Diceros bicornis minor: one gene and its partners. The protein of the gene in region 1 binds, or shares a complex with, the protein of each later gene. Links are inferred from orthologs where the notes say so. Each region holds a gene or a part of one and is shown in the gene's direction. Other genes may lie near its edges. The genes, in order: EPS15, STON2 and AP2A2.

Region 1 (10,382 bases):
TGTAGGGACAAACGCGGAATTAGGGAGGTTAGTTAAGGAGCTTTAGCAGTGGTCTAGGAGAAAGATGATGGTGGTAGTGAAGATAGTGAGAAATAGTCAGATCTGGAATATATTTTGAAAATAGAATTGGAATTTTGGATATATATTAGAGGTTGAGCCAACAAAACTTGTCGATAGGTTGGGCTTGGGCTATAAAAGAAAGCACAGAATCAAGGAAGAAAACCGATGAACAAGGCACCCTCTATTTGTGTTATGAGATGTTCAATACAGTCATCATTTTAAACTGAGACACAACTGTGATTATGGCTTAGAAAATCTTTGCCTGAAAGAGTTGTCTATTTGTCATTATGTGGGTGTACGGTGTCTTAGTTTTCTCCGACTACATGAACCTGCTAAGCGCTAGACACTGTGCTAGGCTCTTTCACAAAAGTTTCATCATTTAACCTTCCCCAAAGCCTTAGAAGTAAGAATTAAAATCCCCATTTTACAGAGAAGGAAACTAAGACAATTTATGATTTGACTGAGGTTACAGAGTCAATAAGGAGCTGAGCTGAGATTTGAAGTCAAATTTGACTCTAAAGCCCATGCTCTTGTCACCACAATGATTCAAAGATACAGAATCAGAATTCCCCAAACTTTCCTCCTCATTACTTGAATCCTCTCTGTTGACTCTCATGTGTCCTACTTTAGAGCCTGAGGCTGGCAAACAGGACAGCTTTGTTCTTTCTGTAGCCCATCCACTGACTTGCCTTGTGATCTAGGGCAAGCTTCTTATTTTGATGGTGTCTCAGCATTCCCACATGTTAAGCAGGGCTAGTGATTAGTGAGGGAGACAATGCTTTGAAATCTGCAGATGAAAGGACCTACAGCCTTGAGTACAAATATTTTCTTTCCCATGGTGCTCTTTTGGTTTCTGATAGCTTCCAGGACCCTTCATAAGGAAAGAAAAATAAATAAATAAAGGGAAAAGGAAAGAAAATAGGACAAGTGTAAAACTGCATTTGCTTGCTCAGTAGAAGCCAATGCAACTTTTGGGCCATAAATGTAATAATCTCCCTTATTCTATAGAGCTCAATAAATATTACTAATGGGTGAATAAATTTTTTTTCAAAAAACCATTAGAGTAGGCTTTGGTAAATGACTGAAGATCTTTAAAAACGATTCCTGTTTTATTTCTGTCTTCTTAAACCTAAATATTCTCCAGTAGGAAAAAAGGAGCTAACGCTTACCTAGTATCTGCTGTGTGTCAAGTATCAGACTAACTGCTTTCACATGAAACCTCATTTAATCATCATAATAGCATTATCAGGTAGGTGCTATTATTACCGTCAGTTTATAGGAGAGGAAACAACGGCTTGGTATAGTTCATTGACTTGTCTAAGGTCACAAAACCAGGAAGTTGCAGAGCCAAGACTGGACCGAGCTGGGCCTTCCCAGATCTAAATTCAGGCTCTTCCCAAGACACCCTGTTGCCCTAAAAAATTAGTGATGACGACAATTTTGAACTGTCCTATCACACCCTGGGTGTGTGTGGCATTTAAAAATCTCTTACTGCTTGTTCTTTTCAGTCCCTGGCACAAGGACAGTTATTTGTGCAGCACAATTGTTATTATTGTGCAGCCTCACATATTCTTTCTGCCCCGGGCAAACATGAACAATAATGGGCTATATTTATGAAACCAGCAGCTTGGAAGCATGAGCTCCAGATTACCATTACAATTGTAGTATCATTTTTTTTTTTGGGAGCTTAGCACCATTTATGTGGAAGGCCTTTCTCAAAGTCTCATGCAAATAACCTGGTTCTTTGTATATTCAGACAGCTCTTCACAGTTGTTTTTTTTTTTCCATAGTTTCAATTAATCATCCTGCATTTCTAAATGCTGACATCACAGACATGTAGTGTTCATAAAGAGCTGATATGACAGTCACCTCCAAAAGTTGGAAAATAAAGAAATAAAAGTAGCCGTGGTTTCCCATAAGGGTAGGTTGGGAGAGGGAGTGGGAGTTAGAGCAGGATAGAAAGATGGAAAGATAGGCTGTTGACCAAGCTGTTCATGATCTAAGTTCTCCTCTTCAGGATCATCTTTGCATTTATGGTTATTAGAAATCCAGAGCCTCATCTTCAGCTTTCCCTGGTCCAAAGCCCCATTTTATCAAGTCTTCGTGGGGGTGATCAACGTCTGTAGGACTCTAGCAACATGCCCTAGTAAAAAGCACATCTGAGTCAGATCTATGTATAATTCCTAGCCTTGTGACTATGAATTTGGACAAATTCCTCTTCTGTAAAACAAAATTAATAATAATCCCTATAGGGTTGTCAGGAGGATTAAATGAAATAACACATATGAAAGCAGCTAGTGGTGGTTATCAGTATCCAGATTTAAGTCATCAGATACAACTTTACTTACGTAGGGAACATCTACCTTTCCAATGACAGGGATGTGTGTGTCAGCTGTTCAAGGCACTCCTTTCTTATAGCCAATGTATCTGCACAACTGACTTAGCAATTGTAGAGTTGTCTGAGGGGTAGAGAGTTAAATGTTGATCTAGAAGAATGGTGTCCTTATAACTACCACTTATTGAACATCTATTCCAGGCCAGGCTCTATGACAGGACACTCATGCATGATTTCTAGTCCTTACACCATCCTTACAAGGTATTATCATCTCCAATGTACACATGAGGAATATGAGGCTTAGAGACCCAGAGACATTAAATTGCCCTAGAAAAAACAGGTGAGTCATTTTCCTCTGCTTCGTGAAGCTCATTCTTGTTATAACGAATTAGATCATAACATATCTTCTATTAGCTACATTTTACTCTCTCAAACTAGATTTGGGATATGACCCAGTGCTTTGATGAGATCTGGGACATGCATTTGCAATCTGTCATTGGTGTGTCATTAAAAAAACTTCAGTTCCAGAAGGTCTAGGCCTTTTTGGGAGATTGGACCATCACTCCCATCCCCCACTACATGTTAAGTTTCTAATTTAAACCAGAACCAATGAGCAGAGAAAGAAGCCAGTACAAATTATTGGGGGTCTAGAAGGGGGCCTGGGGCAATTCCCATCTAATGATTTTTAGCTAGTCTTCTCTTGCTGAGGAGTCTGATTATCATTACTATTATTTTCAGCAAGGCCCAAACCTGCTTTAAGTGGCCCTTACTTAAACAAGTTATTTATAAAATATTTGTTCCTTGGTTTTCTTATCTGTGAAACGGGGATAAAATGAGGATCCAAAAAATAGCTACACATGAGACTATACATTCAGTTCCGTTCAACAGACTTTTATCATGTACCTATTTGACTCCACGAGTTGTACTAGATGTTGTATGTAAAAACATTTATAAACTGTGAAAAGCAATATTGTATAAATACAACTTGTTTTTAACTTTACATCACACAATAATTATAACAATAACAATTTCTTATATTTCCTCAACATTTTCCACAATGATTTGTTCATTTTTACACATCAGAGACTGAAGTTCAAATGGGTTAAAGAGTTTGTCTGAGATCATACACTAAGTGACTCCAATATTCTCCTTACTACCCCACACTGCCTTTCTAGGAACCTCTGTACACCAGGGACTCCCTCTATTCACCCAAGAGTAATATCTTGTATCTCATATGGTTTGGAGGAGTCTCCTTGAATAGCAAGTGAATTTGTACTCCATTAGCAATTTATTCCATGACTTTCGGATTTCTTAACTAAATTCGTGTATCTACATCTTTAGGTATTTTCATATATGTTATCTCATTCATCCTCAGAACAACCCTAAGGTTGTACAGCTGGTAAATGGTACAGCCGGGATTGGAACCTGGATGTTTCTGTTGTCTAAGCCTTGTTTATTCCACTACACTATACTGCTTTGGTTATTAGCTGTATAACCTTGGGCAAATCACTTAACCTCTATGACCTTCAGTTACCTTATCTGTAAAGTGGGTATGATGATTACTACCTTTCAGTGTTGTTGTGAAGCTCAAATGTGATAATCTAAAATAGGAAAGTCAAGTAGAAACATCAGTTGTGGTTACAGGTGATAAATGTACCAAGGTGGAGTAATTTAAAACAGTATCTCCCCTTCTCCCTTGAGTTAAAAAGAATAACAGCAAAAAGACGCCAAGGGAGACTCTCTTGAATAAGTGGTTGCTCACCAGACCTGCATGTCTGGCTCTTCGTGGCTGGACCTTGTAAAAGGGGTCTAAGTAGAATCATGGGGTTCTGGCGGCATTTCTGGCATGGTTTGCCTGTGGTGGTAAAGGTCTAAAAACTTGGGTGGGGCTAACTCCATCCTGGGCCTAGTTCAGTTGGCCCTCATGGTACGTCAAGTGGGGACTGCTATGATAATGGAAACGGGTGAGGGCCTGATAGAGTTGTGGTTTGTTGTTGTGGGAAGCTACCATGACTGAGAAAGGAAGACCAATTCTTGGCAAAAACACTATTATTTTTTTTTTGGGAGAAAGATCAGCCCTGAGCTAACATCCAAGCTAATCCTCCTCTTTTTTGCTGAGGAAGACCGGCTCTGAGCTAACATCTATTACCAATCCTCCTCCTTCCCCCCCCCCCACAAGCTCCAGTAGATTGTTGTACATCCTTCTAGTTGCTGTGTGTGGGCCACAGCCTCAGCATGGCCGGAGAAGCGGTGTGTCGGTGCGCGCCCGCGATCGGAACCTGGGCCGCCAGTAGTGGAGCGCACGCACTTAACCGCTAAGCCACGGGGCCAGCCGGCAAAAACATTATTGAAGCCTACTCTATGCTAGTCTAAGCTGTGAGAAGGATATAGTAGTGAGTCATCCCCCTGTCCTCAAGGATTCTACAGTTTAGTGGGGTAACGAAAAGCCCTCAACTAACTCGTAGAAACAAGGCAGAGTATAATGAGGATCGTATCAGAACAACTAAGAGGTGAGGTGGGAGTTCCTGGAAGGCTGCTTGAAGTAGGTGGCATATATGCCAAGCCTGTAAAGATGAGAGTTCCAAGTGACTGGTTGGTTAGTCCGACTGCAGATGGCAGCGTGAGAAAGTGTAGGCTGTGTTACGATTAACACAGGCAGAAACTAAGGCCATGGGCCGGCCCTGTGGCTTAGCGGTTAAGTGAGAGCGCTCCGCAGCTGGCGGCCCGGGGTTCGGATCCCCGGTGTGGATCCCGCGTGCGCTCTGAGGCACCGCTTCTCCGGCCATGCTGAGGCCGCGTCCCACATACAGCAAGTAGAAGGGTGTGCAGCTGTGACATACAACTATTTACTGGAGCTTTGGGGGAAAATAATAAATAAAATAAAATAAAAAAAAAAGAAAGAAACTAAGGCCTTTATTGAGTACATGCCACATACTAGGGTCTGAGGATATGGAAATATATCAGAAACAGTCTTTGCCATTGAGGAGCTCTCAGTCTAGAGGGGTAGACAGATGTAAACAGTCATTAAGGTGATAATGACTTCAGAAGGTAGGGAAGAAATGTTAAAAAGAAGAGGAGAGTGTGTGACTGACTTGGGGAGGTCGGGAGATGCTTTGCAAAGGGAATGATACTTGAGTTGTTCCTTGACAAAGTAGGAGGAGTTTGCCAGGTGAACTGTGGGAGCAGTTAGGAGTGCTGCAGGCACCTGAGCAGGTCCCAGTGCTCTTTTTTTAAAAAATTTTTTATGAGGGGACTAGCCCTGAGGTAACATCCGATGCCAATCCTCCCCTTTTTTCTTGGAGGAAGATAGGCTCTGAGCTAACTCGGTGTCTATCTTCCTCTACTTTATATGGGACGCCGCCACAGCATGGCTTAAGCGGTGCGTCATGCGTACCTGGGATCCGAACCTGCTAACTAACCCCGGGCTGCGCGGAAGGGGAGCGCGCCTACTTAACCGGTTGCGTCACCGGGCTGCCCCCCCGCCCTCGGTTCTTTTGGCAGGCGGCAAGCAGGCAAGGAAAGTATTTCTTCTCTCTCTCACCTAGATTTTTGGCTCCTGGAGGAAATGACTTTTTCAATATCACACCCTAATAGCAGATGGTTAAATGAAAGGTTTTGGAGTCAGACCTGGATTCTAATCCGGCTATCTAATAAACCGTATGACCTAATCTGTGTTTTAGTTTCCTCATTTGTACAATTTATTTGTGTTTCAATTCCTTCCATTCATACAATTCAAAAGTAAAGCGTGTAGCACAGAGCCTGCCATAAAGTCCTTTTATTATTTTCTATCATTATCTCATTTAATCCTCACAAGCATCCTGGACTTTCGGTATAATTTCCCCCACTTGGCAGAGGCAGAAGTTTAGAGTAGGTAGGTGACCTGCCTAAAGTTCACAGGACAATCCAGAGTCGCCTCCGCCTCCGCAGCCAGTCCGCCCTAATTGGACGTCCGCGCCGGGTTTTCCCAGGCTGCCCCAGGGGACAAGCTCCGGTCCGGCGGCGGAAACGCCGGCGCCAGAATTTGGGCGCCGCCGCGGCCTGCGCCGGGCGGGCGGGCGGGGCCAGGAGGGGCGAGGCGGGGCGGGCGAGAGGAGGGAAGTTGTCGAAGTTAAGGGAGACGCCCGCCCGCTCGCCCGGGCCTCGCCTCCGGCCGCTCCCTCCGCCTCCTCCCCGCCCCGAGCCCCCGTCCGCCCGTCCTTCCTTCCCCTGCCGTGCATGATGGAAACACCATGGCTGCGGCGGCCCAGCTCTCCCTGACACAGGTAACGCCGCCCGCCCGCCCGCCGGGCTCGCTCGGCCGCTGTCCCCGGCCCGGCCCCCTCCCCCACCGCCTGCGGTTCACCGACCCGAGCGGGTTCTCTCGGCCCGGGCGGGGCGGCCGGTAGTGAGAGCGAGAGCGTGCGTGTGACTGAGGGAGGGCGCCATCCCGAGCCGGCAGCTGCGCCGCGGCAGCCGCGACCCCGCCCGGGTCGGGGGCGCCCCCGGCCCTGGCGCCCCACAGCTGAGTGCCGCGTGCCCCGGGGTCCCCGCTCCGCTCCACTTAGTTTTCCCCCACCCAGGAAGTTTCCTGATCCCAGGCCCGCACCCCAGGTGAGCTGTGGAGCTCGCGCGGAGCAGCCTCACCCGCGGGTCAGCCCTCGCCCCGCACGAGGCTCGCCCTCCGGGCCGGGCAGCGCGCTTCCCCCGGTGAGAGTCACCCTCCCGAGCCAGACGCTCAGGGCCCCCTCTTTCCTGTCTAAACCGGCCTTTTCCCCCTGGAGTTCAACGAAAGCCCTGCCTTCCCCAGCAGTTTCCTCCAGGCGCCTCTCGTCCAGGAAAGTCTCATCTCACCCAGGTACTTCCCTGCTAGCTCTTTCCCGAATTGAGCCTCTTCTCCTGATCAGGTTTCCTTCTGGGTCAGACCCCCTATTAGTTTTTTCCTACTCAAGTTTGCTTTCACGCCCACCCGGTGGACTCGCACTTGATCGCTATCCAAGCGGATAACAGGGAAACATCCTTTAACAGGTGTGATGGTTCCACCGGTCTTGGGGCTGGGAACGACCGTAGAGATCACTCGTCCTGGGGGAATCTTCACCAGAATCTGTTCTCGGGGTTTCCTGTTGCTTCCTTCAGAGTCCAGTCCTTGTGCTTCCCAGGAAGCCTCTCTACATCACTCGCTCTGGGAGCCTCGTTCCTCCCTCCCTGCAAAGAAAGCCCAGTACAATCTTCCCATGATGTCCAGGGTGATAAGGAGTCCCCGTCAGTCCCTTGCCGCTTCTCTGACCAAACTCACCCCAGCCTCTCACTTTCTCATCCTCTTTTTTCCACAGCTGGTGGCCATGTACTTCCCTGTTTGGGCCCACCCCAACCTTCCTGCCTGCCTGGTAGTATCTCTCTGCCCCTTTGTAGTCTCTTTGGCCTGGATTTGTCAGTGCTTTAAGGCTTTAACAGTGGGATAGGGTATACATTTGGGTCATAGAGTTGTCTGTGTTAGGATCAAGAGGCTTTGGGGAGGTTCACCTAGCACTCTAGGATAGGGAGACTGAGTGAAAAATGTTCTCCCCAGAAACCAGGAGTCACAGTTAAACATGTGCCTCAGGTGAAATAGCTAACTTGAGTTTGCAGGAATTATCAGACTCATAAGTGGAGTCTATTTTGCAGTTTGTTTGGTGTTGCTTATCCTCTTTTGACAAGCAGGTAAGGGGGAAGAATTCTTGGAATGTGGTGTTGGTTGTGAATCTCTTTGGAAGGGTCCCTCCTGAAACTCAAGTTGGAGGAATGGGAACACTGACTTTTGGGTGTTCACTTTACGAGTCTAGTTAGTGACTTGCATTAAATAAGATCCCTTTGGCAGGCTGTTGCTGTCTGGCTCTGTTGGTCAGTTGGGCAGGAGTTTTCCCTTCTTGAAGATTTTGTTCTCTTGAAGACTTTTGTAGATTTGCTTCTTAGTTGTGTGCATAAATTCTCTGGGTAATACTGTGTTTTTAGTTTCTAATTACTGTCATTTATCTCTGGAGATTTTCTTCAGGCTCTGTCAGTTTTATAGACAGTTAAATAATTTAAATATATTCCTGTGGTTATGTATTAACATGTACAGAGTAAATACTGAATCAGGAGTATTATCATTAAATGTCTCACATATGAGAGAACATACCTTGATGGTTCATTTATATTAATAATTCAAAAAGTCAATTTAAAATATTTTGACTTTAAGACATTAAGAGGAAATAAGATATATTGTAAAGGCACAGGAAAAACAACCTTTCCAAGTGTTACTATACTATAATATGCCTCGTTATTTTAAAATTTTGTTGATTTGTGTTTTTTTACTTTAATTTTTTAAATTAAAAAATTTTTAAATTAAAAAATTTGTTTGAGGCAAATAAACTGAGATAGCAATGCAACCTGGTTTCACATTCGTTATTGATCTGTGTTTGTCGCGCTGCGGCCGCGCCCTCCCCCCCCCTCCGGTTCCAACAAATACCCTTAGACATAGGCATACTTAAGTGAGAGATCCTCCAGGGCAGGGACCCCTTTTAATTCATCTCTCTCCCGTCAGTGCCCATCTGGAAGAAAGTGATTAATGACTTTGTCTTATGATTGACTGAAAATTTTAAAGGGCTCTATGACAGTTAGAAAGATTAAACAGATGCTGAAGTTAGTTTCTGCCTCTGGTCATGAGATAATGATGGTTTTGGAGTAGGTTCATTCATTCAGCAAGTATTTGTTAAGGACCGATTATGTGCTAGGCGCTGTGCTGGGATTGTCTTGTTGATGATTTTTTGTTTTTATTAAGCAAAACTGACAGTTGGGGGAAAAATGTGAAAATATTTTAATTTACTCCTTCCTTCCTCTGCCTGCCAGTCAACCCTCCAACTCCCCAACCACCAAAGTAAATTATCTAAATTTTCATATTCTAGCTTCTAGAGAGGATAGAACACTAGAGAAATGAAATGTTAGTTCCAGCCCCAGCTTTGCCAAGAGCTAACTGTATGGCATGGAGTTAAATCTCCAGGCCTCAGTTTTCTTAACTTTTAATATTCATTCAACAGATATTTGTTGAGCATTCTTCATGTGCTAGGCATTATTCTAGGAACTAAGGATATAGTAATAAACAAAATAGATACCAGTTCTTAGAGCTTGGAGGCAAACAAAACATGAAGCTTACATTCTAGTAGCTGATTCAAGGACCTTTCCAACTAACATTCCTTCTTATAGATCATATTCTATAATTTGTAGATCTGTTGGTGACTTTGCTGTGTACCCTTACTGTTTTCTAATTTCAGTTGTCTTCACTAGATGTTCTGTTTTCTTCTTGTCAGTAAGAAGTAAAACTTGAGTGAGAACGATCTTGTGATTTTTGCTTATGGTGGTAGATTACAAAAAAGATATTAATACTTTTTAAACTTTTCCAATTGCCTATTTCTTCCTCAAGCTTAATAATAACAATAATACTGTTAGCTTCTCTTTGGGAGTTACTCTCTGCCAGGAATTGTACTTCACTTAATCTAACACTCCATTTTGCAAATGGGGGAAGTAATTTACATAAACCAGTAAGTGGTAAATCTAAAATTTGAACCAAGGTCTGTAGGTCTTCAAGAGCTATTTCACTGTACTTCTCTGTGTACTAGATGCTTGGCATATCCAGTGCTCCCTTGAATTTTTGATTCTCTTTTTCAGTATATGCCCTGTTGTCCTAATTAGGTAGTAGACTTCTTGAGGATAGAAGCCATATCTTTTGCTTGAGTCTCCAATGCCTTTCATGGTATCTTAACAATACAGTTGTTTGTGTGCAAGTAGAGCTCTTGATGATGATAAAGGTTTTATTTTATTGAAATATGGCATGATATAAGTTTTTAAAATAATCTTCCAGCAGCTTTATGCTGAACTTTTGTTTTAATTAGCAAGGATTCTTTTTTTTAATAATGAAAAAGCCGTTAGAATGGGACTTAATTTTAAAAATCTTAGTATATGGTCTGAAACAATACTATAAGAATACATTTCCTTT
Region 2 (9,667 bases), on another chromosome or scaffold:
CCCAGAAGAAATAGGCAGGTGTTTCCAAAAGGAATGCTGTTTTGGTTGGTGTGTGTGTGTGGGGGGGGCACTAGGCAGATAAATATAAATGAGCAGAGAAGGGAAATGGATAAATTGGTGGTGGGGTAGTTGGAAAACAGCATACCAGGTAGAGGGAACAGCATGTTCAAAGGCACAGAGACATGAGAGTACATGGTACATTCTGGGAACTACAAATAGTTCAGCACTGGTGGAATATAAAGTTAAAGAGGAGGATGACAAAAGTTGAGGATGGAAAGATAGGCTAAGCCCGATCCAGGAGGCTCTTGTATCCCATGGTAAGACAATTATCCCTTAGGTAATGACAAGCCATTGAAGGATTTTGAGTAGGAGAGAAATGATAACATTTACGTGTTAGATCACCCTGATAGCTATGAGAGGGATGGATCAGAGCAGTGTTTATGAGTATGTGGTACCCAGGATGACCTGATTTTAACTTGATGCAGAAGCTGGTTCTAAGTGGAATGCAGTAGGGGCATTAAATTTCATTGGCTCACGGAGTGAGAGAGTTATCCTTTTCTCAATTCTCCTTCAGTATGTTTGATTCAGCCAAGGAAAAATGATCAGTTTGGTGCCAGTGTGTCTTTAATATCCCTCCAAGCCTTGATAATCTTCCTTTTTATCAAAGAAAGAACAGAGCCTCAAACTCAAAACTTTCAGCAGCCAACAAAAAAATATCCAGCTAAGATTAGATATTGTGGTTTTATTTTCATTGTATGATTTTTGTGGCTAACGTTCTGTTTATGGCAAGTGATACTGGTTTTTCCTTGTTGATAATCATATGAAAATTCCTTTTCAATAAAGCTGAGCAAAGAAACAATTAAGTACATAATAGTGCAGGTGATACATGGATATGGTAAGAATGGTGATGGTGGGACACAGATGACTGAAATTTGGGACACATTGGAATAGAAGAAAATAAGAAAAAACACAAGAGACCAGTAAAAAGAGTATTGAAATAGTATGGTTGAGAGATTTTAAACTCCTTGGGATCAGAGAGTCTTGTATTTATTTTGTTTTACTCTCAGGAATAGGCCTTGAGGGCAGCAAGAGTGACTGTCCAGTTAGTACCCTCATCAGCAATGCAAGATGTTGTCACATATGTTGAGCTGGACCTTGATGTTAATACAATCTTTTGAACATTTGTCCCCAAACTTCTCCTGACATGCTACCTCAAATCCAATTTTGGAAGGTGGACAGTATAAATGAATTAATTTTTTAAAAATGTTTTAAAAACTCTTACCCTCCAAGTTCCTTCAGTTCAAATGTCACCTCCTCTGAGAAGCCTTCCCTGACTTCTCTGTGTACACCCAGGTGCTCCTTGGCCTGCGCTTTCAGTGAACCTTCCTACACATCTAACCCAAACTCTGTCAAACGGTTCCTTTGTGTGCCTCTTCATTAGCCTCTAAGTTGTCCAGTGACCCTGTCTTTCATTCTTTTTATCCACAGTCCCTAGGACTGTTCTGGCACAAAAATAAGCAGGAGTTCAATAAACATTTGTGCAACAAATGAATCTTGCTGTGGGGACACCACATTACAGAAGAACACTTAGAAAGTCATTACATTCTATCGATTTCAAGTTCAGTGCAAGTTCATAGAAGGGAAAGATCAACATGAACTGAAAGGTGTATTGAAGGAGTTAAGGACATTTCTGGGGTTGAATTGGAAACAGGAAATCTAAATAAAGATTCTTCACCATCACTTCAGCATCTTAATAGCAAGATTTCCCACTCGGAAGAGTACGTGTGTGTGTGTGTGTGTGTGAGCGGGGGATGTTGGAGGGAAGGAACCAGGTCCTTGTAAGGGATTTCTCTTGTCCCTTCTCCCTCTCAGCCTTGTCAGAACCAACCCTTTGGAATTTGGCTGACATTGTCTTCAATCCTTTTTCTTCCCAGAAGTCCACACAGTGCTTGGTCCACAGATATTTGTGGAATGGAAACACCTTGCCATAAAAACAAAACTAAGCACTGTATCATTGACAAAGTTCATTAAGAGTTCATAGAAGGGAGAAGGTGGGACCAGTGAGATCTTATTGAAGGATTTCTAGTGGGTACAGAGTCGAGCTGGGCTGTGGGACATAAAGACATAGACTCTCCCGCTCCCATGCCCTCCGGTATTGTTCCAAACTGCCAGTTAAGATGGCTCTAGTCCTCGAAACCGTCAAAAGCTACCTTGCCAGTAGAGTAGCTATTTAAATTTAAATACCATTTAAAATTCAGTTCTTCAGTTGCGCCAACCACATTTCAAGTGTCCAACAGCCACGTGTGCCTAGTGGCTTCCATATTAAATAGCTCAGATAGAGAACATTTCCATCATCATAGAATGTTCAATTGGACAATGCAGATCAAGGAGTAAGTCTTCTCTGGGTTGTTGAAGGCGGGAGCATGAGGGGGAGACAAGCTGATTTTTAATTGTTTTCTAAGGATTTTCTGTTTTTCCACACTTTCAGCTACTATACTTTAGAGTTTAACATTTCATTCATTGATAGTTGCCACACTCTCAGAATGCATGCTGTGGACATATATATATATATATATATATATATATATTTATAATTTGGTGGTTTTTAGGATATTCACGAAGTTGTGCAACCATACCCACTATCTAATTCCAGAACATTTTCATCACCCCAAAAGGAAGTCCCATATTCATTAGGCAGTCATTCCCCATTTTTCCTTCCCATGACCCCTTGGAAACCACTAATCTGCTTTCTGTCTCTATAGATTTGCCTATTCTGGATATTTCATCTAAATGGACTCACACAATATGTTGCCTTTTGTGTCTGGCTTCTTTCTCTGATCATAATGTTTCCAGGGTTCATCCACATTGTAGCATGTATCACTACTCATTCCTTTTCGTGGCTGAATAATATTTCATCATATGGATGTACCACATTTTGTCTATCCATCTGTCAGTTGATGGATATTTACGTTGTTTGCACTTCTCAGCTATTATGAATAATGCTGCTATGAACATTCATGTACAAGTTTTTGTGTGGGCATATGTTTTTTAATTCTCCTGAGTATATACCTAGGAACGGAATTACTACATCATATGGTAACTCCGTTTAACTCTTTGAGGAAATGCCAAACTGTTTTCTAAATCAGCTGCACCATTTTATCTTGTGTACATTTAAGGGAGAATTATTCTTCTCTTTCTCTGACAGTACCTGACATACAGAAACTACCTATTCACTATTGGATTGGATGGATGATTACCTTGACCCACACCAAATGTCCACCCAGCCTGGAACTGGAGGATGTCCTGTTGACCAGGATAGGGGTGTGGCCCCAGTCTCCTTAATGCCACCCTATTAGCCTGTCAGCGATTTTAGTCAATCAGTTCATGTTTATTGAGTACCTTTTACCTTCCATTTATAGGCCAGGCACTGGGGATAACTAGTTGGGTGGATAGTCATGTAAACCGATCACTACAATGCTGTAATGGGGATATAACATAGGCAGTGGGATCGCTACCTTTGCCCGGGAGAGTTAGTGAAGGCCTCATGGAGGAAGGGATATTCCAGTTGAGTCTTGAGTGCTAAGTAGGAGTCGCCAGAGAAGAAATGTGATACAGGAGACAGAGCTAAGCAAATCATTTTGCTAGATGAGACAGGAGATAGAAGGATACATAAACAGTTCTCGAAGATTCCAGAGTGGATATGGTGGGATCCAGATTCTTCTTTCTCTTCTTGTCCTTCCAGACAGCAGAGTTTAGTGTAATGTGACCAGGGTCTATCTATTTAAGAAATCATCTTGGGTCAGCCTAGTTCTCTGGCTGAAAGAGCCTTTCTTCTTTGGAGGGATACTGTGACCAATCCAAATGGAGCTTCCGCTTTGGCAAAAGCCACAGCTATGGAAAGTGAGCAACCGGAGTGATGGGCTGATGTCTCCATGTGCTTCTGATGCTTGGAGAGGGACGCTGGTGAAGAACCTTCCTCACACAGTCTGTTGTGCTCTGGTGTCCCTACCAGGTGAGGCCCCACCCATGCCTAGTCCATCTTTTCAATAGAGAGTGGATCGATTGGTTGCCCATTGATATGAACTGGGGAAAACTGAGCTAATTTCCTCCTAGGGTCTTGGGCTCTTCAAAATAAATGACTTTAATCTCACTCTAGGGCAAAAATCAGGCTGTTCAGAGTGGGTCAAGCTGGTTTTCATTAGGGTCTTTAACTACTTCTCTACCAAGCTAAGTTTCTTGATCAAAGGTTCTGTCAACATAGGAGAATAGAACCAGGAGGAAATATCTGTAGGAAAATGCTTATGTACTTGCTTTCAACACGTTAGTGCAACCAAACTCCATAGTTCTAAAACATAAACTGTGTTATTTGTTTCTATTCATTGTCTATCTGGGTGTTTAGAGGGGAGTCCTTTTATGAGTGGTAGAAAAAGGTCTGGTGGCATTCTGATTCACAGTATTTGTTTCTATTCTTTAGAAAGGTTCGGTGCAGGTGGAAGAAAATGTTGGGAGGACTAAAGACTATGGGAGAAGAGATGGAAAATGGGAACAATTTTAATTCCTGACAACCCTTCTCCATTCTAACTTGTCCCTCTTTATCACAGTATAGACTCAGTGTGTCTTTTTTTTTTTCTTGAGGAAGATTAGTCCTGAGCTAACATCTGTGCCAATCTTCCTCTATTTTGTATGTGGGTTGCCGCCACAGCATGGCTTGACGAGTGGCGTATGTCTGCGTCTGGGTTCCAAACCACGAACCCAGGCCACCCAATTGGAGTGCCCGACATTTTAACGACTCAGCCCCGGGGCCAGCCCCTGCTTGTGTCTTCCAGATGAAAATCTCTCCATACTCCAAACCGATGTCGCTTGTCCACACGTTTCTCAGGACTTACGGACACGCTTATGACAGCTGTTTCGTGTATTTCTGAATTAATATATGCAAAGCACTTGGAAAAGTGTCCAACAAATAAAGTGCACCATGGAAACGTTAGAGTTATTATTATTATTCAGCTTCATCTCCCTAGCTAGGTCTTAAGTTCCTTGTAAATGAAGATCTCACTATCTTTCTCGTTCTTAATCGTTTGTTAACGTGATTAGGACCTTGGACAAATCACTTCCCCTTTTCAAGCTCCGGTTGGACCACATAGAGATGGTGCGTAAAGTGCAGTCTGAGTCTACAAGCACAATTTGGCACCCACTGTTTACAAACCACTGCCCTGCGTCCCTAAGCTCTTTATACAGTAAAAGTATCAAAATGAACACGAAGTCAAAATCCCATGTAGGAGTGAGGCCGGAGAAGCAACGATCCCCGCCGGCTAGCCTTGCCACGGGGGTGTGGGAGAGACTCCAAAGCGAGCCCCACTCCCCGCTACCCCCGTGCTGCTCGCAGCGACGCTTTCCGCTCCGCCCCGTGCCTGGACCGCCGGCTCCACTCGGCGCAGAGGGGCAGGATCCGGGTTTCAGCGTCTGCATCGCGGCCCCGGGATGCAGCAGGGACGCGAGGCTGCGGCGCCCGGGGCGCGGGGAGCAGCTCCAGGCGCGCCCGGCCCGTCTCCCCGCCCCGGCTGCCGGCTGCCCAATCAGGGCGCGGCTCGGGCGCGCGCGGCGGCCAATCAGGAGCGGCGGGAGCGGCGCCCGGAGCCCGCGGGCGCAGAGCGAGCCCGGAGTCGGGAGCCGGCGGCTGCACCGCGGCCGGGAGGGAGCGTGGCGGGAGCGCGGCGGCCGGGGGGCTCCCGGACCAGCCCAGCCGGCTGTGCCGCGGCGACCTTCTGGCCGGCACTCGGGACCCTGCCGGCGGCGTCGCAGGTAACGGCGCCCCCGTGCCGCAGCGGGAGGGCGAGCGTGCCCCGCCGGAGGGGCCCGCAGGTGGAGCGGGCGGGGGGCGGGCCGGCCGCGAGGTCCTAGCGCCGCGGGTGCTGCCCCGAGCCGCTCGCGGCCCCCGCGCCTGCCTCGGTGGGAGCCCGGGGAGGCGCGACGTTTCCACAAGCCGCGGGCGTCCGAGAGTGGGAAGGGGGGGGTGAGTCCGCGTCGGGCGGGCGGGGCTGGGGTGGGAGAAGACACCTGCGAGCCCCGCACCCATGCATAGACACTGCCAACGGGTGTCTTCCCCTTGATCTGGGTCCCCGGGACGTCTTCATTGCCCCGAGTGGGAGCGGGCAACAGGTGTCCCTGGGGACGGCGCCTTTCCCCCCGTACCTGAAATCGGGGCTTTGGCGTCCTGCCCCACCTTCGGGGTGTCCGGAGACAGGACTCCAGCCTGGCCTCTCAGGCGCGCTGCCCGCTGGACAGCGCTCAGAGGCGGCCTGGACCCGGCGGACCCGGGCTTTGGATGGAGTTGCAAATGCGCGTTGCCAAGCAATTTGCTGGACGCCCGCCTCTCGCCGGGATGGAGAGAGTTGAAGTGTGTGTGTGTGTGTGTGTGTGTGTGTGTGTGGTGCAGCCCCTACTGAAAGGAGCTGCCTGAGGGCTGTGAGTGAATCATTAACTGTGGTCTTGTGCAGCACCGGCCACTGCCTGTCTCTCTCTCTCTTAGGCAGGTCCTTCATGCTCTCTGCGCCTCACTCTCCTCATCTGGAGTGTGGCGATAATGCTTTTTACCTGCCTGGTAGCGTTGTTTTGAGGATTAAATGAGCCAGTGCCTGAAAAACACCGGGACAGCGCTAAGTGCTCAATAAAGGCTGGCTCTTATTATTTACTCTACGGAGTGGGAGGTCTTTTAAAGGGTAAATCAGACGTGTCCAAACTGGCCCAGCAACCATTTGGAGCTCTGAACAGCTTTCTACACTTGAAAGGAAATACTATTATTAATGTTACTGACGGTATCATTTAAAGGTAATATATCCTTTGAAGGCTAAAAACCTGCTCCATTGGCATAGTGAGAGATAATGGATTCCAACTCATAGCTGAGAAAAGCTTTGTAACCCTTGAAAAAATTGATATGAATGTTGTTTGAAAAGAATATCGTGGTACTTTGTTGAATGCTTGTCTTTCATTAGTATGGCTGATTTGGGGGGAAATATTGGAAGGTTCTTATATCGTCTACTCCTCCCTTAAACAAACAAGTAAAGTTTAAAAAGTGAGAGAGAAAAAAGGAAAAACAAAAACTCAACCACACAACAAAATGCCAGCAGCTCGTGGAAACCTAAAATTGCAGTTCCCACTTTAAGCGGTTTTTCCTGTGTCTGACCTGGGTGGTCTGGTTCAATTCTTTGCCACTGTGTCACTTTTCTTGTTTAATCTGAAGAGTCCAATAAACATTTGGCCCCATTCAGTTTTCTTTTTGAAATCTAAATAAAATATCATATGTAGCAGACCTGCTTGGAGTTCTGAACCATCTGCTACTTACCTCGTACCCTGTGACAAACCCAAAAGGACCTTCCCGAAGGTTGTATAGGGCGACGTCAGCAGGAATCTGTCTGTCTTTTCACACTACACTACCCCCATAGCTTGGGACGTGGGAAAAGCGCACAGAGCAAATGCCCTAGTTCTCCTAGGGTCTCCAAGTGCATTTGCCAGGAGCCTTAGAATAAGTGCATCCACTTAGAGAAAGTGATTATCTTCTCAGGGGGTAAGAAGCCCACTTCCAGATGCAAATCTTTCAAGTGTCAAATTAACTCAGCAGCCCTTTCAGTTGTTGATAAGGAGACTTACTCTCTCCACCAGAGTGGGAGGGTCTGGAAGCTTCCTGCTGGAGGAGGGAGAAAGGCATGTGGGGCAGGGGAAAGATGGCTGAGTTCAGAGCCAGATCCATACCTGGTGAGAGCTCTGTCCCTGTGGCTGATGGTTGGGAAACTTCAACAAATTGCTGTGTTTTTCTGAGCCAAAGTCTCTCTGTAAAATGAAGACTCAAAAAAGGTTTTTTAGAGGTGTTGTTCTGAGGGTGGTGCTAATGAATGGAAAGCCCCTAGCACAGTTCCAGGGACATAGTTACAGATCTGTAACATCCAGAGGAGGTCCAGAAGGTGGGAGTGATCAGTTATACCTGGGAAAGAAAAAAGACTTGATTGAGGGGATACCACTCAATCTGAGCTGAGTGTAGAATGATGAGCAAGTCTCTTGTGCAGACAGGCTTTAGGTGGGTTTGCAAGAAAGGTAGAGCAGAGGGGAGAAGACATTCCAGAGGATCTGGGAGATCAAAAGTGCTATAATAGTCATCGTAGGCAAAATAACCCCCGAATCTCAGTGGCTTTCAGCCACCAAGATTTATTTCTCATGTATGCTGTGTGTCCAGTGTAGGTTGCTTTTGGTTCTGCTCCTCATCTGTCTTCATTCTGGGACCCACTAAGGCTTGAGAAACAACCTCTTTCTGGGACAAGACTGATCTCATTTATGGGAAAGGGAAAAAAGAGAACATGACAGAAGAAAACTATGGCACTTAACGTCTGCTTAGAAGTAGCAGAGGAGGGCCGGCCCCGTGGCTTGGTGGTTAAGTGCGCGCGCTCCGATGCTGGTGGCCCGGGTTCGGATCCCGGGCGCGCACCGAGGCACCACTTCTCCGTCCATCCTGAGGCCGAGTCCCACATACAGCAACTAGAAGGATGTGCAGCTATGGCATACAACTATCTACTGGGGCTTTGGGGGGAAAAATAAATAAATAAAATCTTTAAAAAAAAAAAAAGAAGTAGCAGAGGTCACTTCAGCTCTCGTGCTGTTGGCGGGGGTAAGTCACGTGGCCAAACGTTATATCAGTAGTGTGGAGAGGTATAAGCCTCCTAAAGGCAGTGAGGTATGGCCAAGTAGGAGGGAAGGTGCAGAAGGAAACAAGGCCAGGGAGGCCTCCCAAAGGCAGATGATGAAGAGCCCTGGGTCGTGTGCCAGGGAAGTTGAACTTTATCCTATGGGCAAGGAGCAGCCACTGAAGGATTTGAAGTGGGGTTTGACACGGTTGGTCAGATTTTCAGGCCGAGCACACATCCCTAGTGGCAATGTGGGGAGATTGAAATAGATGAGACTGAAGGCAAGAGATGATGGGGGTCTGAACTAATAGAGCAGCTGCAAATCTCTCTCTCTCACTGTCACGTGACTTGAGATTCCACTACTAGAAAATGATTCACTAGGCACTTGAGTGACTTGTGTTTTTTCTGTCTTCTCCCAAAATGCACAGACTCTCTCATCTTAAAGTTATCGTTTTTTAATACGTAAAGCAGTGGTTCTCAAACTTCAGTGTGCATCAGAATTACCTGGAGGGCTTGAGGAAGCACAGATTTCTGGGCCCTACCGCCAGAGTTTCTGAATCAGTAAGTCTGGGGTGGGCCTGGGAATTAGCATTTCTGACAAGTGCTCAGGTGATGCTGATGCTGCCGGTCCAAAGACCACACTTGGAAAACCACTGAACTAAAGGGAGAAATTAAGACATGGTGGAGGGGAAGAACTAAATAGAAGGGCCTAAGGGAAGGAGGGAAAAGTCTGGAAGGTCCAAGCATTCTCCCTGTGGCAGTTTTGCTGAAAGCTGACTCTGGCCATGAGCAGTGGGGTCTGGAAGAGAGACTGGAAGAGTCTCTAGGTTTATATTAAATTACAGATGTAATTCTCATAGTGAGGAAATGAAAAATATCCCGGATTCATACAAGTGAGAAGCATACAAGCGCTGCTTTATCCCCTCCCTCTCTAATTCTGCCCTGACTCCCCATCCTGTCATTGAGCACATACCCTTTTGCCTCGCTCCAGACCTCTC
Region 3 (10,544 bases), on another chromosome or scaffold:
GAGTGTATGAGTTCTTGAAGCACCCTAGATTTTGTCATCAACTTAGACAAGCTAAAGTACTTAAAAAGGAAGTAAAAGATATTTAATTTATAAATTCAATTTGAAATGTTGAAAATGCTTAATTAACTGAGTTTGTAGATGGGACCAAATGTTATGCAAAGGCCCCTTAAACATGCCTTTAAAATCTGCTAGGATTATAAAGGGAATAAGAGCGTTTGTAAAATTGAACTTAACGGGTTAAAAAATTAGATTTTGAATTTATAACTTCAATAGATCAAATCCTAATTATTTAAATTTAATGTAAATATGAGTATAAACCCTTTGCCCAGACCCTAAACCCAGACCTCAGCCCCCATTCCTGGCCCTCTTGCTTGTGGATCAGCCTGCCCTGTCAGAGCTGGATTCGGGGTGTCCAGGTCAAGGTCCAGGCTCTGAGCTGCAAGCCCAGGTCTGGCCTCCCCTCTCACTGTGTACAGTGGACACTGGAGGACAGCAAGGGCGGGGACAGGCCCCATAGAGTGAGGGGGCCTGCAGAGACAAGCCCTCCTTCTGCCAGCTGAATCTCCTCATGCTCTGGGGACACCTGCAGGACCACAGTGCCCTACCCCAGGTGCACTCTGGCCAGCTGAGGGTCCCCAGCCTGAGGCTGCCTTTCCGGGACAGCCTTGAGGGCATCCCTGAGTTATTATGGGGAGCACATTATATGGCCAACACCCCAAGAGCACTCACATCTGGTTGTTGGGTGTGCTTGGTGGCTGTGGGGTTTCTGAGGGCTGGGCTTGTGTCTCCCCTGGCTGGGCAATGCTCCGCAGATGGAGTGAGGGTGGGGTCCCTGGCCTCGTAGGCAGCACTGGGCCTCTGCTCATTTGCTGAGTCAGCACAAGGCAAGGCCCTTCCTGGCAGGGCCAACTCGTGACTCGTCCTGTATTAACAGGGTGGCCTCGGCTGGGGGTTGTCCCAAGGGCAGGGCCCAGGAGGCCACTATCACTGACTGTGTCCTATCACTACTGGGCCTTGAAACATTCCTGTCTGGAGGCCGGAAGCCCAGGAAGAGGGATACACATCAGGATTTCCTGCTGCTGAGCCTTCCCTTTGCTTGTGGCTGGAGACATCCTCCCTGGGTGCTGGATAAGCAAAGTCCAGAGCAAGAAGAGAGAGGGAGCGGGGCATGCTCACGTGCAGCAGAAGCTTCCGGCTATAGCTCCAGAGCCAGCACAGCAGATTTTCTGTCTGTGTCCCATGTGTGGGGGCCCCCCGCCCGTCTGGCCTTGGCCAGGGTGACGGCTATGCCTTGGGCACCATGTGCTGTCTGGCATGTAGGTGTCTGGTCAGTGGCTGGGCAGGTGCTGGGCCCTGAGGTGGGTGTCTGCGAGAGGCAGGTGGCCCTGCACAGGGCTGTGTGCTTTGTGGCATCAGTCATGGCTTTTATGCTTCTCACAACACACCACCCACCTTATAATACCCCTATAACAAAGCAGAGGGGCAGTATATGTGTTGATGAGGCCAAAGGGACAGCATTTCTTGGAGGCTGTAGTGGGGCGAATGGTGGACCCCAAAAGGTTGTCCATGTCCTAACCCCCAGCACCTGTGAAGGTGACCTTATTTGGAAATAGAGTGTCTGCAGATGTAATTAAGGATCTCGGGATGAGATCATCCTGAATTGAGGATGAGCCCTAAATCCAGTGACTGGGATCCTTCTAAGAGGAAGGAGAGGGAGATTTGAGACACCCAGACACAAGGGAGAAGGGCAGGAAAGATGGAGACAGAGACTGGGGCCATGCAGCCCCAAACCAAGGATGCTGGCAGTCACCAGAAGCCAGAAGAGAGGCAAGGAACAGTCTCCCTCAGAGCCTCCAGGGGGATCCAACACTGCCGACACCTTGATCTTGGACTTCCAGCCTCCACAACTGTGAGAGAATTGATTTCTGTTGTTTTTAAGTCACCATTTTGTGGTAATTTGTTACGGCAGCCCCAGGAAACTACTACAGTCGTGCTGAAAGGCCTGAACTGATATTTTTAGCTATATTTTCTTTCCTAAAGCTATTTTTCTCAGGCTAATCTTAAAATTGGCATATATTCCATCAGCTCACCCTGGCTGGGCTCTTAGAGGAAGGAGCTGTGGTGGGTGGATGTTGGCCTGGGATGGAAGCCCTTGCCACAAAACACCCAAAACCACGAGGTCTGTTCAGTGATGGACAGCGGGCTGGCTGCTGGCATGGCTGGTCTAGCCTTTAAGGTCAAGGGGTGTATTTTTCAACAGGTAACTTAGGGAGACTGGAGGTCATGAGTCCCTGCTCTAGGGGTGAATAGGATGCCTGATCTGGCAGCATGGCGGGGGAGGGCAGCAGAATTTTCATAGCCGTCTCCTCCACCCCTCCCCAGGTGTCACCCGCTACATTCCTCCTTGTTAAGCCCCTTTGAGCCCTGGTGGGTGGATGCAAAGTGGTCTTGATGACAAGCCACAAGATAGGATAGGAGGGCATCCTGACATGCCCCAGGCCCCTAGAGGCCCAGAAACTTCAATGACCAGCACCCTTGGGCATGGGAATAGGTATTAATTAGGATTTAGGTGTGGCAGTGTGCAACAGAGCCCCTAGCCACAACCAACCCCACAGTGGAGGGTGTGGTGCTCATCCTCACAGTTCGAGACAGAGCTCCAACTACCAAAACCCTGTTCCAAGGAGGTAGGATGGAAAAGGGGCTGGACTCAAAATCAGGTCCCCAGATGCGCTCACGTCACCATCTGTTATGGCATGAACTGTGTCGCGTAAAAGTTCACATGTGGAAGTCCTCACCCCAGCACCTCAGAATGGGACCTACTTTGGGTCATTGCAGGTGTAATTAATCAAGATGAGGTCATACTGGGGTAGGGTGGGCCCCTAATCCAAAATGACTGGTGTCTTGGTAAAAAGGGGAAACTTGGACAGAGAGAGAGAGATGTGCACAGAGGGAAGACGGTGTGAAGGGACACAGGGAGAAGACGGCCATCTACACTCCAAGGTGCGAGGCCTCAGAACGAACCATCCTTGCCCACACCTTGATCACAGACTTCCAGCCTCCAGGACTGGGAGAGAATAAATCTCTGAATTCCTTTCTCTGCATTATATCCAGGAATTTCTGCCATCTCAACCTTGTTTTAACATGTGCCGCCCTGAGTCCAGCTTCCAGGCAGTTGGCTGCCCGAGCTGGTTCAGCTGACCCAGATTGCTGGGTGCCCCATGGGACAGATCTGTTGTCCCAGGCCTGCTCTCTCGGAAGCCATCCTATGTAAATGCTGCAGAGCTCTGCCGACATAAACTCAACTGCCTGCAGTTCTCATGGCAGCTAAGCCTTCCCCATCTGTGTGTGATTTTGTGTTGGGACCTGACCCTCCCAGGTCTCAAGGGATGGGGCCAGGCCAGTGGTCTTTAAAGGGAACTGACTTTTCTCTTACAAAGCAACTCCTTCAAGGGATGTCATTACAGGGTCTTCAAGTATGGGGACAACTTTGTCCAATGGGGAAAAGGGGCTGTGGAGGCTGGCCAGGGGGCTCTTGCCTCTTGGAGCAGAGTTGGGGTCCCCCAGTCTGTCCCACGTACACCATCCCAGTTCTCCTGGCCCCACGCATGCCCCGCCAGCACTCTAGCTTTCCCGTAAGACATTTGAGGAGGCCATAGATTCAACTTCTGTGGCTATTTCGCAACAATCCAAATTCTACTGTGTGTGGCCGTGGGCTCAGTTTTGTGGCTGTCAGAGATGAGATCTGCAGTCAGGCAGCTTCCTGCCACCCTGAGATGAGCAGTTAGGACTTTGAGCTCATCACTCTCCTTCTTCAGTGGTCCTGCTTCATTCGAAAATGAACCCGCCACAGGGGGCCGGCCCCTGGCTTAGCGGTTAATTGCGCGCGCTCTGCTGCTGGCGGCCCGGGTTCGGATCTGGACATGCACCGACGCACCGCTTGTCCGGCCATGTTGAGGCGGCCTCCCACGTACAGCAACTAGAGGGATGTGCAACTATGACGTACAACTATCTTCTGGGGCTTTGGGGAGAAAAGGGGAAAAAAAAGGAGGAGGATTGGCAATAGATGTTAGCTCAGGGCCGATCTTCCTGAGCAAAAAGAGGAGGATTGGCATGGATGTTAGCTCAGGGCTGATCTTCCTCACACACGCAAAAAAGGAAAATGAACCCACCACAGATTCTTGAATTCCTCATGCTCTGCACACCATCCACAGCAGGGGACGTGCTCAGTCTCCGGAGCCTGGCCTTCCCCAAGCATGTCATTCCTGGCGACCACAGGTAGCCATGGAGCACCAAAGACTGTCACATCCCTGTCCCTGAACACACATGGGTGCTCAGAGCCTCTAGCCACGCTTAGACCAGGCTGCCAACCCCAATTTTCTGGAAGAGTCATTGTCTGCGACCCACTCCAGAGATTATGGGAAGGAAACTGGGTCACTTGTAAAACTGACAGGAGGCCTGAGCAGGCTCAGGTCTGGGTAGGAGTGGAGACACAGCCAGCTAACGCTTCAGGATGCCCCAGACACCGTGGCCTCGTGCGCTGTAGGCTCTGGGCTCCCCAGCCTTCGTTTTCTCCTTCGTGATTCAAGTGTTAGGCTTTAGTGTGTGGGGCTCTCACCTCCCAATGCTCACGGATGGAGAAAAGAGAATCTCGGCTCCACCCCTGCCCTTGGGAACAGTGCTGTGACCACGAGTGGCTAAAACGTGACAGATGCCTAGTTCAGGCAACTTAAGAAATGAAACTGTTTCCAAGCACTGCACACTGCTAGAGGCAGCCTGTCCCTCACTGAGGAGTGGCCGTGGTCAGGGAGGGCCGCGTTGACAGAAGCCCGAAGCCTGATGGTAATAAGCGACCTGAAGGGCTTGCATGTCTGGGAAGGTTAAGGCACCGATGGGAGGCAAGGGGTCTTTTGCATGGTGGCCTGTGTGTCTCATCAGGCTTTGGGGACCTGCCCACCACCCCTACACTTGTGGGAATCCCAGGAGGCTTGGGAGGCCCAGGCAGCACTGAGAGGAGGTGGGATGCCCACTTAGCTCCAAGCTCTTCCTTCGAGACACCCTCCATCTCAGGCTGAGCTGGGCCCTGTCCGTCCACAGGTGGGCCCTGCAGCCTCCAGGCATTGCCCTGTCGTGTGAGTGGCTGTTGGGGGTGGGTCGGGGTCTCCTTGTCTGAATCCCCTGGGCTGGCTGTGGGAGGGCTACTTCCTGGCATGGGGATTCTGGCCCTGGGGGTCTCCCCTCCTCCAGGATGCCTTCTGCTGGCCCAGCTCTTTGGAAGGTCTTGGAAAGTGGCGAAATTGCTGCCTTATAAGGATTTGGGTCTCCACGGGCTGTGGTTTCCCCCAGGGGTCCCGGAGGCCCAGAACCTGGGTGAGGTGTCTGGGTGGGGTGCCTGGTCTGTGGGAGGGGCCCACCCAGGCCTGACCTCTCACTGGGAACTGAGGAAGTGAGCCAGGGTGGGACAGCCGTCTTGCTCGTGGGTCTGGGCCAGCTCTAGGTACAGGGCCTGGATAACCCCGATGAGGAGGGAGCTTCCTCTTCAAAGCCATCTGGCTTCATATAGTTCAGCTCGGCAGGGCCGCCTGCTCTGCAAACAGAATCCCTAGGGGTCTGCCCCAGGCCAAGGCCCCTGCAGTGCTCTGCGGGGTGGGCGCACAGGGGCCATCCTCTGCCTCCACCTTGCTGGGAGAGGCGGTGGTGGCAACAGTGTTAAAGGCCCTGGTTGGGCATTGAGGGATCAGATTCTAGTCTGGGCCCTGCGGTCATCTGATGCCAGGGCTGGAGGTGGGCAGTGTTTTCTCTTCAGGCTTTAGCCTCCCCCTTTGTAAAGAAGGGGCTGGCTCTGGACAGCCCAGGTGATGTGCACAGGCCCTCAGAGCTCTGGACACAGACCGGCCCCCAACACCGGCAGCAAGCTGCCCTAGGACCCTGGCTAGGCAGGGTCGTGGGGTCCCTGGCTGGGCAGGGCCGTGGGGGCCCCTGGGCTGGGCAGGATCGTTGGGGCCCCCAGCTGGGCAGGCCGCCAGGGACCGCGGGACGCGAACCCGTGGATCCCAGCGCTGCCCCGCCCGGGCATCGGCCTGCAGGGGGCGCCCCCGCGCAGTCCTTCACGCGCCCGCCCTCGACGTGCTCGCCCCCGCGCCGCGGCCGCGCGCGCGCTTCCTCTCGCCCCGCCCGTCCCGGCCGCCGTCTCTCGCCGCGCGCGCGAGCGTGCGCGTGCGCGTGTCTGCGAGCGTACGTGCGTGCGCGCGCGCGCGGCGGCGGCCCCGAAGCGGTGCTGGGGGCCTGAGGCGGCTCCGGCTGAGGCGGCTCCTCGGGCGGCGGCGGCTGCTCCCCGCTCGTCGTCCTCCTCCCGGGCCCGCCAGCGCGGGCGCTCCCCGGGGCCAAGATGCCGGCCGTGTCGAAGGGGGACGGGATGCGGGGCCTGGCGGTCTTCATCTCGGACATCCGCAACTGTGAGTGGCCGCGGCGCGGGGCCGGCCTGCGGGGGCGGGGGCCGGGGTGCGGGCGGGGGTCCCGGGTGCATGCGGGGGTCCGGGGCGCGGGGCGCGGACCTGGCGGGCCGGGCGGGGTGCGGGCGGGGGCCGGGGGTGCGGGGCGGGGGTCCCGGGGTGCGGCGAGGCCCGGCGGCGGCGGGGGCGGCGGGGGCGGGGTGCGGGGCGGCGGCGCGGCCGAGGGGCTCCGCGGAGACGCCCCTCCCCGCATGATGTCATCCCGGGCCGTCTCCGTCTTTCTGGTAATGGAGCATTTAACCCAGCCTTTCCCGGGTTTTCCTTTGGGGTGGGAGCAGCGGAACGGGGTCCTGCGGGGACGCGGCCCGGGGCCCGGTTCTGCGGCGCGTTGCGCCGCGAATGCAGTGACTCATTCATTCCCCGAGGGGCCGGGCGCGGGCGGTGGGGCGCGGGGCGGCCTCGCGGGCAGCGGTGCCCGCCGCGTCCCGTCGGGGAGGCCTTCTCAGCGGCACGCGTGTTCCCTCAGGGTGGAAGAATGCTTGCCAGAAGGTGGATCGGGCCCCGGGGTACGGTTGGCCCACCAGGAAATATGGCTTTGGTGTGCAGACACTCCTGTTGGTTTTCAGAAATGTTCTCTTTATTTAATTAGAAAAATGAACACCGAGCCCGTTTCCTGTCTGGTGTGTTTTATTCTTTCCCTGTTACCCCCCAGATCGGTGGCTCTGATGTTTGTCTCCCGCCTTAGGTTTGATGTCTATTTAGAAGAATGTTTGTAGCCTCGCCTACTGGTGAATGCTGTTTGCTGAGCCTTCCCCTGAACCCCTCACCTCCCTGGACTGGGGTGGAGAACCCGGACCGTGGAAGTTGAGACCCTCTGGCCCTTCCCTTACTCTGCAAGAAATCAGTGTAGGAACACACCCTCAGATCAGGGCTTTTACAAGTGGGGCAGTATTCTCCTTTTTTTCTTCCTTTACTATGGAATGTAATTTTCGAGACGATAGTTTTTATACTCACAGTGCATCTTGCAGAGCTAAGTGTGTGCGTGCTACTGCTTAGCAGCCTTCAATTATCTATGACGTCTGTCCTTCCATTTTGGAGGAAAACTGCATTGGGCAAGGCATTGAGATTGAAACCCATTTTCTCAGACAGCCAGTTACCCATGTATTAGACGTGTGTTCTGTGCTGGGTCTGTGTTTCACTGGAAGGGGCCTGCCGCATAGTGAGGACTCACAGACACTTGTTGACTGACTGTGGAGATGGGACATTCTCCACCCCCGCGCTGACATTTGGGTCTGATCTTTCTTTGTTGTGTGGAGCTGTCCTGTGGTTAGCAGCGTCCCTGGTCCCTACCTGCTGGATGCCTCAGTTGTGACAACCAGAAAGGTTTTCAGACGTTGCCCTGCGGGGCAGAATTGCTCCCAGTTGAGAGCCATTGGTGTAGATCAGTGAACAAGACAATCTCTCCCCTGAAGGAACGTATGTAAGAAGAAGCAGTGCGTGGTCCTTCTTGGCCAGCTTTCTGTTTGTTACAGCCCCTTCCTGAGAAACACCTTTGCAGCCTCAATGTCCGGCTCCCCCTCACCTGTAGCTCTGCAGAGCAGTGTCGTCAGCTTGTGGTGCTCTGCCCCACTGCACTGTAAGCTCTGCAAGGTGGGGACCACGTCTGTCTTGCTCGTCACGTCACTCCGCCCCTGCTCACACAGCGTCTGGCACGAGACACATGCTGAGTGAATGAATAGATGGGTGAGCCAGAGAAGACTTCATCTAGGAGGTGATTCTTAGGCCAATTTTATGTCAAGGGCACTGCAGGCAGAGGGCTAAGATGTGTGAGGAACAGCAGAGAATTAACATTCTAAGCAAGTGTGGGCCGGTGGCTAGAGATGGGTTTGGAAAGTGAACCCCAGCCAGAGCTGGTCTGAGCTTGACCCCTGTGTGGCAGGGAGAGGTGTCCTTGCTTCCCCTTTCACTGCCTGTCCCTGATTGTGTGCTTACTGTTTTCTTGTTGTGAGGGTGATCGATGGAGCCAGGCTCTGGAGACAGAACACTGAGCTGGCAGCAGGGGGTTGCACTCCGACAGCCTCTCACTGGCTCCATGACTGGAACCCGCCGGCCACTGAGCCTCAGTTTCCTCAACTGACAGAGAGGGGTGGATTTTGAGCTGAGGTATCACTATAGTCTGTTTCAGCTCTAAATTGCAGCTCCCTTTTTACCTTTCTAAGCTAGTTTCTTAAGTTTCCCCCTTTAAGACCTTCTAAGAGCATGCTCTGCATTTATTTGCACTTCAAGTTAGTAATCCGTTCCCAGCTTACTGGCTGGGAATGTTACTCCTCTTAGAACAGGCAGCAATGAACATGCTCCAGGATTTGAAAAGGTGCCTGTGCCATGCCTTTCTGCTTAAGCCTGTAGCTTTTGTGGCTCAGGTAGTGAACTAATTCAGTGCCTTGTAGAATTAACTTGATCCTTTCTGATTAACTTCAGCCCAGGGGTCACTGAATTCCGCTAATGTGAGTTCAGCGTGTGGGAGTTAGTAAACTGTTTCTCTCTCTCTCTTTTTTAATTGGTATTAAAAAAAATTCTAATCCTTTTATTTAGTCCCAGTTTTAAAATAATTCTTTATTTTGAAATAAATATAGGTTCATAGGAAGTTGCAAAGAAAGGGACAGGAAGGTCCCAGCAGCCTTCACCCCGCCTCCTCTAAGGTGGACGTCTCACATAACAGTCCAGTTTCAACACCAGGAAGCTGACATTGGTACAGTCCACTGGGCATATTCATATTTCACCAGTTTTACATGCACTGACGAGTGTGTGTAGGTCTTTGTACTTTTATCACGTGTAGCTTTGTGTAACCCCCACCTCAATCAAGATAACAGCACAGCCCACTTGTGCTACCCTGTATAGCCAAACCTACTTCCCCCAACCGCTAATCTGTTCTCCATCTGTTCTCTATCTACATAACATCTCAAGGATGTTGTGTGAATGGAGTTGTATACAGTAGTTTCTCCTTTTCTGCGGGGCGGGGGATACATTCCAAGACCCCTGGTGGATGTCTGCAACCACGGATAGTAGCGAACCCTGTATATACTGTGTTTTTTCCTATACATACATAACTGTGATAAAGTTTAATTTATAAATTAGGCACAGTAAGAGATTAACAACAGTAAATAATATTAGAACAATTATAACAACATACTGTGATGAAAGTTACTGTAGATTTTAGCAACCTCGGCATATGATTTTATTTCTTATTAAGTAGAGAACTTTCACCTTTTCACTTAAAGGAAGCATTTTAACGGCTTCTGTTTGGCATATCTGAATTGCCAGCATCCCTACTCTTGCACTTTGGGGCCATTATTAAGTAAACTGAGGGTTACTTGAATACAAGCATACCACGATACCACAACAGCCTGATGACTGGGACTAATGGGCGGGTAGTGTATACAGCATGGATTTGCTAGACAAGGGGATGATTCAGAGGGTGTGCAATTTAAAACTTGTGAATTGTTTATTTCTGGAATTTTCCATTTAATACTTGAGGACCACGGTTGACGGCAGGTAACTGAAACATGGAAAGGTGAGACCGCGGATAAGGGGGAACTACTGTAGTATGTGACCTGTTGAGATTGGCCTTTCTCACTCAGCACAGTCACCTTGACATCCATCCAGTCTATTGCATTGATTGACATTATATTCAGGCAGTCGATTCAAAGAAAACGAAAGAACTGCTGAAATTGGGAAAATAATAGTTATTTGCTGTTTATTCAGTTATTTTGGAACTTTTGTTTGCTTTTATGCATGTGATTATCAGTGAAGGAGAGTCATATATAACTTAATTAACATGTCTTTATGCCAACACTAGAATATTGTAGAGAACATAAAACTGCTGAAAATATTGTCAGACTCAGAATTGACTGCAAAATAATCAGGACTACTATGAAAGGGGAGAAGAGATAGGTGGTTATTCTTGTGAGACCAGTCACGTGGCCAGTGGGCAGGAAATTGCCATTTATTCCTCCTTGCACATGGTGGTGGGCATTGGGGCTATGCAGATGAGTCAAGACACTTCCATGGTGCTTGGAGGCATTTTATTTAATCACT

The links.
Region 2: the proteins of EPS15 (region 1) and STON2 are in contact, whole or in part, in an NMR structure (PDB 2JXC), measured with the Homo sapiens proteins. The link is inferred for Diceros bicornis minor from reciprocal best matches to the Homo sapiens genes EPS15 and STON2. Residues at the interface, in NP_001972.1 of Homo sapiens: Leu139, Gly148, Lys152, Pro153, Val154, Leu155, Leu156, Asn157, Ser158, Lys159, Val162, Asp163, Leu165, Gly166, Arg167, Trp169, Glu170, His176, Gly178, Met189, Val192, Tyr193, Leu196, Glu197, Lys198; in NP_001353779.1 of Homo sapiens: Trp309, Arg310, Ala311, Thr312, Asn313, Pro314, Phe315, Glu318, Gln321, Asp322, Gln324, Pro325, Ser326, Ile328, Asn329, Pro330, Phe331, Phe334, Phe335, Glu337, Gln338, Glu339, Arg340.
Region 3: the proteins of EPS15 (region 1) and AP2A2 are in contact, whole or in part, in a crystal structure (PDB 1KYU), measured with the Mus musculus proteins. The link is inferred for Diceros bicornis minor from reciprocal best matches to the Homo sapiens genes EPS15 and AP2A2. Residues at the interface, in NP_031969.1 of Mus musculus: Asp629, Pro630, Phe631, Lys632; in XP_006536218.1 of Mus musculus: Phe442, Phe443, Trp446, Lys447, Asp487, Pro488, Val494, Arg511.

What each region holds. Positions count from the first base shown.
Region 1 is NC_080752.1:13,901,840-13,912,221, reverse strand, and holds the start of EPS15 (epidermal growth factor receptor substrate 15), read left to right. Parts: upstream 1-6,554; 5' UTR 6,555-6,624; coding exon 6,625-6,657; intron 6,658-10,382. UniProt on the Homo sapiens protein: Involved in cell growth regulation. May be involved in the regulation of mitogenic signals and control of cell proliferation. Involved in the internalization of ligand-inducible receptors of the receptor tyrosine kinase (RTK) type, in particular EGFR.
Region 2 is NC_080763.1:28,751,463-28,761,129, reverse strand, and holds the start of STON2 (stonin-2), read left to right. Parts: upstream 1-5,724; 5' UTR 5,725-5,799; intron 5,800-5,994; exon of another isoform or gene 5,995-6,010; intron 6,011-9,667. UniProt on the Homo sapiens protein: Adapter protein involved in endocytic machinery. Involved in the synaptic vesicle recycling. May facilitate clathrin-coated vesicle uncoating.
Region 3 is NC_080770.1:1,112,537-1,123,080, reverse strand, and holds the start of AP2A2 (AP-2 complex subunit alpha-2), read left to right. Parts: upstream 1-6,299; 5' UTR 6,300-6,385; coding exon 6,386-6,452; intron 6,453-10,544. UniProt on the Homo sapiens protein: Component of the adaptor protein complex 2 (AP-2). Adaptor protein complexes function in protein transport via transport vesicles in different membrane traffic pathways.